Callithrix jacchus: one gene and its partner. The protein of the gene in region 2 purifies or fractionates together with the protein of the main gene of each other region. This does not show direct contact. Links are inferred from orthologs where the notes say so. Each region holds a gene or a part of one and is shown on either strand. Other genes may lie near its edges. The genes, in order: TENT5C and FNDC3A.

Region 1 (4,293 bases), on a different chromosome or scaffold from region 2:
ATCCCACTTCTCAGTGCAGGTGCACATCAACTGATAACATGAATGTCTAGTTCTGCCCACACCCTTTCCCTGGCAGGTATTAACACATGCGGCGCCCTCCAAGGGCTCTTCACATAGTAGCAGCCAAGGCCATGGCCAGGAGACACCAAATGTGACCAGAGGTTTAGCCAGTACCCTAATGAGCCCCCAAACTATTTTACAACATCACAAGTAAGAGCAAAACAGTGTTTTCAAGGCTGTATCTGGGTCAATCATTTGATTCCTGTAACAACCCTATCAAAGAGATACCATTCCCCCCAACCCCCCATGGGGAAACTGGAGAGCAAAGAGTGTGTGAAAATTGTAAACTGTCCAAGGATGCACTTCTGGTGAGTAGCAGACACGGAATTCAAGAGTCTTCCTAAAAGGTGGACACCTTTGGTGGGGCGGGAGCCTGAAGAAGAGCTGGTTAGCTTAGGTGGTCACCAGAAGGAGATGGCAATTAACTAGAAAGAAAAGGAAGGAAGGCATAACAATTTTAAAAAAAATAAGATGGCAGGAAAGAATTTTGGCTAGACATGCTAAGGCCACCTGAGTGAGGTAAGGCCAGATGGCAAACGCTGAGAACGAGGGAGAAGGATTTAGAACTGAAGTATCTAACAACTGTCAGCACAGAAACTGCGAGCTGGAGCTGGAGCTGGAGCTGGAGCCAGCAGAACTGAATATGATTAAGTGTAGACATGCTAACCATTATGCTAATATTTCTTTTAAAGGAGCAACGGCTAGGAGATGAAGGCCTAGGGTCCTAACTTTCCAGGGAGCTCCGAGACGCTGGCTAAGTTGCAGGGCAGTGGTTTCCCAGAATCTAAGACCAGGAGAGCGAGAGAACCCAAGAGTGGAAGGTGCTGAACTAGTAGTGAGAGGAAAAGTTAATGGCCCAAGGAGATTGTTAGGAATGGACTGTCCCGATCCGGAAAACTAAGGCATGCTGTTTTTTCTGCTCATGGACTAAAGGAACCATTACTGAGACTCGCTCTGATGGCTGGGAGATCAGAGTGTTGATAGGCTGACGAAGCAACAGAACAGGACACTCGCAACCTTCTGAGATCAAAGAAGCCAGTGACCCAACTGCAGCCACAGAGAAATGGTTGATAAATTTGCAGGGAGTGACCAGGACTTAAAGGGCTAGCCCAGAAAGGAGAGCTGGAACAAAACTGAAAGCAGAGGGTCTGGAGGCGACACAGGACCTCACGAATGCGGAGCCTCAGACGGGACACCTGTCACTTCTCCCACCTGCGTGTTGTTTGACCCTGGAGATTCTTTCAACCTTAAGAAAAGAGCCAGCTGCTGTGAATGACCATAGACATTGGTCATTTTGCTTGGCATGTCCAGAAAGGAGAAAAACTAGGCTCAACATGAATATGGTCTTCTGAAAAAAAAAAAAAAAAAAAAAAAAAAGCCTTTCTTACTCCCTGAATTCCTAGGGAGGATGAGGGCCACAAGTTATCTAAGGAAGGGTTTGGGGACAGCCTGAAGAAGTCTTTTGTCTGCCAGCTCCTTCCTAGGGCCAGACCCCCCAATTGGAGAGGGGGGCACATTCTGGAGACTCCGCCACAGCCCCAAACACATAAAGGTTACAGATAGCAGCCACTCGAGTGTTTCACGTACATGGAATAGGAGCTTAGATTATGAATGGCCTGAAGCAATAACACCAGATAAAATAATGCTTTACTTTTTAAAAGGCCAATAAAATATATCCTATGCTCACTATTTTTCCAAGATGTTACTTTCACAGTTGCCCACTTAAATGCCCACATCACATTCTACCTGAGTTCAGAGAAGTGACTGCCCCAGACCACAGAGCTGTGCCCAGAGAAAACACGTCTAAGTCAGTGACACCCTGAACCCCACAGTCGGTCTTTGCTCACTCTCAGCTCCATCGCGTTCAGCCAGAGTCTCGCTCTGTTTTCTCAAGGTTATCATCATCCACCAGCCACTTACCAGTGATGTTTACTAGAGTCAAAAAATTTGGTTCGATTCCCACAGCAACTGGGACGCAGCACGAGCTGTGGAAAGCAGCCCTGGACTGAAACCCAGGCAGGCCACAGAACCAGGCTGCGATCTCGGCTGTTAGGGTCTAAGGGGCCTCCATAAATGCCCACTTAGCACTGAGAAGCGAGAAGCCAACAGAGTCTGAATGGTTGTCACTGGGCTCCGTCCACAGACACCCACACAACGACAACCGCAAACAGAAAGCTCTTTCCCACCTTTGAAAATAGGATGCTGAGGCAAGTGTGGGTGGTGAGATAAGGCTGCAGGAACCAATGCTGTGGCTGCAAAACAGCAAACAGAATCAAAACAGTGGCCCAGACAGGACAACAGGGACGCCACACAGGGTCCAGTGTTGAAAGGAATACTGTGACGTGCTAAATGGAAATATTAAGGTCAGGACACAGACTTCTTCAGATGAAAGCTGGGCATAAAAGCCTTGATTTTTTTCCAAAGTGTCAGCATTAACTGCTACACATATAACTTGAAATGGAAATAATCCCTGCTGCTACTTGGTAACCACCACCCCACCAACAAATGCTTCTTTCTAAATCAGAGGTGTTGCCGGTCTGAATTCATTTAAAGAGCTCCCCGAAGAGAATCTGCCTTTCTCATTTAGAGATTGCGTAGACTGAGAAAAATCAGAATGATTCCAAGGAGGAGACTGCTTACTGTAAGAATGACTCCGTTTACACACGATCCGCAAGCTTTAAGAGCCGACAGCCTCTGGGTTTCATCAAACGCTGCTTCCACAGGCGACTTCACCATCTAACTCTCCAGCCTAGAGCTTTAAACAGTTGTCCAAAAGGAAGGTCTCAGTCAGCTAAAAGTCCTCTCTAATCACTAGCAGTTTCCCTGCCTGGGTCTTATCAGGAAAGGGACAAGCAACTGTTAGTTCCTCAAATGCCACCCTTATCATACATTAGACACATAAACACACCCCATTCACAAGTGTCTAAGTGTGAGCAGACCTCCACTTCAGAGCAGGTGCTAACTACGTGCACAGCTCCGTCCCGGTTTCCGTTCCGTATGGGTCCTTCCTTGAGGAGTTACCGTTCAAGTTGCAGGTTCCAGACCTCCTCCCCATGTTCAGCATTTATCAAGTAATTAATGTGCTGTCACTAGACAGCTCAAACACCTTTGACTTCAAAGTGACTTCCTCTTGCAATTTCACTCAAATTTTAATTGCTAATAAAATTTAATTGCTGATAAACTGAGTCCTGGTCCCCTGCCAGTCTCAGAAGATTTTATCAGCAGTTCCTTGAAATTCTATTGCCTTATTATTATTCTCTAAGAAACCATAAGGAAACAAAAGAATGAGCACTGGGCTAGGAATCAAACACCACGTTTTCGCGTCAGGTCTGACGCAGAGGGTGAATGACTGTCAGTGAGTTAGCCGAAACGGACTTTCCTATCACTCTTTCAAAAATGTGCATGCCCGTGTTTTAAGCACTGCTCCAGGAGCTTGTGATACACTGGGAAGGAAGAGACAAAGATCCCTACCGCTGTAGAGCTTATATCCCGCTTCATATTCTCCTTCTGTAACTCTGGGTTGTTAACTCTTGCCTCCCACACTTGAAGAATGAGAATTTGAGAGTGAAACACTTTTGCTAGAGCTGTGCTTCCCAATACGTAGGCACCGCTGCCAGTGCAAAACACATCCTGGATACCAAGGGCGCAATATGATAAAAGGAATGTAAACGACCTCATTTAGATTTTTTTATATTGATTATATATTTTATATTAATTCTACTGATTATATATTGATATGATAAAATTTGATATGGCAGATTAAATAGGCTTATTTAAATGAATTTCATTCTTTTTGAGACAAAGTCTCACCCTATTGCCAAGGCTGGAGTGCAGTGGTGAGATCACGGCTCACTGCAGCCTTGATCCCCTGGGCTCAAGCAACTCCCCTGCCTCAGCCTCCTGAGTAGCTGGGATCACCACACCCAGTGGCGCTGTTCACAATAACAAAGACTTGGAACCAACCCAAATGCCCATCAATGACAGATTGGAAAAAGAAAATGTGGCACATATACACCATGGACTACTATGCAGCCATAAAAAAGGATGAGTTCACATCCTTAACAGGGACATGGAGGAAGCTGGAAACCATCATTCTCAGCAAACTGACATGAGAACAGAAAAACCAGAACACTGCATGATCTCACTCATTAAGTAGGAGTTGAACAATGAGAACACACGGACACAGGGAGGGGAACATCACATACCTGGGCCTGTGGGACGGGGGAGGCTAGG
Region 2 (3,636 bases):
ATTTGTCAAGCAAATTAACCACTGAAGGCTGAAACAGAAGAAAACCTTCCCAAATGTAACAGGCTTCTGGGACTTTTCATTCATCTGTTATGAATGACAGCAATGGGCAAAGCTGAACAAAAATGTGATCCTTCATCACTACTGGGAAGGCTGCAAGAGCTAAGCATGGAGTAAAGGAGAGCTTCATGGTAGCCTGCCTGACAGTGTTCTTAAAACTGGTTATCCTTTAATAGGACTCATATGATTGTCCTCAACCTAGACCCTGAGTTTGAAGCTGTGTACTTATTTCTTGATTTAAAAAAAAGTTGGCTTTTTTAAACATTGAGTTCTTCTTCCATATTGGCTTCTGCAGTAAATTTTTCAATGATCTTTTTTTTATTGCAGTAAAATATGTGTAACATCAAATTTGCTAGCTTACCTATTAAAAAAAAAAAAAAAAAAAAAAAGGCAGAGTCCCTGTCCTGAGGAGGAAGTCCTTGGGATGGAAATTTTCATGAGCTGCATAAAAATCAAGTCACTAGGATAAAACTTCTAATTTCATTCTTTTCTGGACTTAATATAATAAATATGCATCCTCTCATGTTGAAGATTTGTATACTGTTGGGGAAAATGCTTTAAGCTCACTGAAAGAGGGGGGACTGTAACATTTCATTTTCTTAAACAGGCAGTAAATAATGAATGTATATGAATACAATAAACATATCTCAAAAAAGAATGATACAACTTTTATTTTCCATGGATTTTAAAGATGCTTTTACTACACAGTTTATGTATTTTTATGAGATTTTTTTTCATTTGTATGAAGTTCAGCCTTACACAATTTTAAGGTGATATGTTTGGTAGTGTATCTATAATCTTTAAAAAGTTTGGAGTTTTTGGAATGTACAGTATATGAGGTAAAATCAAGATTACATTAAAAATTGTTTTCTCCTCTGCACTAATTTTGCAGTGAGGCTCAAATGGCAAGTATACTATTAAATGACATTTACTATCAAAAATAGGAAGTTCATTTGAATTACTATGAAAAACATAAGCCACTGTAACTTGACACAGTGGCACATTTTACCGTTTTAGACATTCAACTATATATAAATCTCTGGGCTATTATACTCAGACTCATTTGTACTGCCAAATGTGGCAATTTAAAGAAGTTTCTAGAAAACAATCGCAATCACTGATGTTTTGGGGGAAGGTTATCACCCTATACATAAGAGATTAAATTTAAATAAAATGTAAACATACAGAATATTATAGTGACAGGTCATTCTTACCACTTAGAAAGGCCAAGTTTATCCATTTCTTTTTTGAACAAGGGTTAATGTTTTTCTACAGCACAGATCATTTGACATAAAACAGTTACAATACATGCCCATTCTATTATAAAAGAAATTCTTCAGAGATCTTCAAATCACAAAACATACGTTCTTTTTTCAAGGACTGACAGAAGTGCTTAATAATCACTAAAATGCCAACTTCAGCAACTAAAAATTAGTGATTCACTATCCTAAAATTCAAATAATAAATTAAAAAAGCTAGTTACACAGGTGTTTTACAGATAACAGATGTGCTAAAACAAAGAATTGTAGATAGTTGCATTATAAACTGTATTATTACTGGCAGTCATGGACATCTAGGCAAGATGTACAATGTGACACTTGACAAAATTCAGTCTGATCATCCAAAAGCTCACAAATGCAAGCTCACAAAACATTAATGAATTATGCAATTGCAAAGTGCTCTAATGCAACATTAACCACATGCAACCAACAATTTGGAACAGTATCCAAACAGACATTATACATTAAACGTTAGTTTTCAAGAAAGAAAGCAGCTTGAAGTTTACTGGTGCAAATGAATGTTGTCTTCAGATTTGGTGCCCCAAACAAAAAGGTTAGGTTTGATTATGAATTCTGATGGTGGTGGCAGCAGTTATGGGAGAAGCAGCAAAAACTTATGGGAGTTCTTCAAAATTAGCCTATACCAGACGAAGTGAGTGTATGTGTGTAATATGAATCTCTATACTTGGTATGTGTGTGTGTGTGTGTATATATATATATGTGCCATATATGCACGTGTATACCCTTATACATGTACATATAGTGCAATGGTTCACAAAACAGAGCCAGATAGGTTTGAAATTCAGTTTACTTTTACGATTACTTTTAAAAAAGTATTTAAAAGCCCTCGGTTCTTTTCCATGTTCTCAAGACCTGAAGAGGAACTTTCTGAGTAAACATCAAAATATTTTTAGGCCAAGTAAACTGTCTGTGCTTTCTTTAAGTACTTATCTGTGAATTCTGAATATATATTTATAATGAAGAACTCCACATTTATCAAAGCTTTTCTTCATGCATACTCTTTCACCCAGTTTTTGTTTCTAAGCCCCTCCAGCTACTCATCATAATCCCACTTACCAAATAATTAAGACAAATGAGGAGGTAGAAATATAGCACTAGATTGCTTTCACAGCATCAGACTTTAACATTTTATATAGGATGTTAGTGTAAATTCTATTCATTCTGAATTTTTCACTTGGTAATAATCTTTAAAACAAACAGATCAGGTTATCACTGTTACACTCATGCCGATTGGTCAAAATATCCATTCCTAAATTGTTGCCTCTTAGAAAGTTTTTCTATAGAAGGCATGTTAAAAAAAAAAAAAGAGAGAGACAGAAAGGAAAAAAGAAAAGGAAAAGACCCACCCTAACAAAAAAACAAAAATTGATATTTTTGTGGCTTGCATTCTAATAAAGTGCCAGCCTCTACCTAACAATATAAGCACTGAAAATGGCAAAAATGATGTGCTATAGTCTCAATGCCAGTGCTAAATGCCACTGTTTTTTATAAAAGCAATACAGAAATAATTTTAGTACATGACAAAATAAAATGTAATAGAGTTAAAAAATAAAGTTATATTTTCACTTGATTACAAAGTACTGAATGATAAAGGCAATCAAAATGGAAAAGAAAGCAAACAGCACAAGGATGACAGCAGCACACTGCTCGTCACTCAGTGCCCGTCGGGTCCTTGTGCTTTCCACAGTGTCTCTGTTGGTGCTGGCTGGTGGTTCAGTCCTCTGAGAGATGAAGAGCACTGTGGTGCTGTAGGGACCTACAAGGTCCTGGTGTCCCAGAGAGTCTTGGCACTGGCGAATGGCACATACACGGAAACGATATTCACAGTTCAGCTGAAGGCTGGAATACCGGAAGTAAGGGTCGGGACCTTTGTAAATCTGTTAATAAAATATTAGAAGGAAGAATTATGTGTGAAGAAGGCTGGACAGAAAATGTGTTAAAACTGGCTAGTGTTAGAATTGTTTTTGATGTGAAAGCCGGTGAATGTCACTGATTTTATCTTTCAAATGACATATTAAAAATACCTATCCATTAAAGTACTTAACCGTCTGTTGCATAGGGGCAGGAGAAATCTGAAAAGTGAGGACGTGAGATCGACCTTTATAGGATTCACAGCTGAGTTAAGGAGTGCACATGTGCCCGAGGGCAGCTAGAGAACAAGCAAAATCAGTCCTTAAGCATTTTCCTGTTTTCCTCAAATGTAAGAAATCATTTTTAAATGAAATCATTCCATCAAAAAGGGATAGTGTCTACTTTTGCTTCCCCCATTATGTCTTTG

What was found.
Region 1: the proteins of FNDC3A (region 2) and TENT5C purify together in Homo sapiens (affinity purification with western blotting; 3 studies listed by BioGRID, with this or other methods). This does not show direct contact. The link is inferred for Callithrix jacchus from reciprocal best matches to the Homo sapiens genes FNDC3A and TENT5C.

The regions. Positions count from the first base shown.
Region 1 is NC_133508.1:155,644,128-155,648,420, reverse strand, and holds the start of TENT5C (terminal nucleotidyltransferase 5C), read right to left. Parts: upstream 2,830-4,293; 5' UTR 2,797-2,829; coding exon 2,701-2,796; intron 1-2,700. UniProt on the Homo sapiens protein: Catalyzes the transfer of one adenosine molecule from an ATP to an mRNA poly(A) tail bearing a 3'-OH terminal group and enhances mRNA stability and gene expression.
Region 2 is NC_133502.1:66,784,837-66,788,472, forward strand, and holds the end of FNDC3A (fibronectin type-III domain-containing protein 3A), read right to left. Parts: intron 3,236-3,636; coding exon 2,921-3,235; 3' UTR 705-2,920; downstream 1-704. UniProt on the Homo sapiens protein: Mediates spermatid-Sertoli adhesion during spermatogenesis.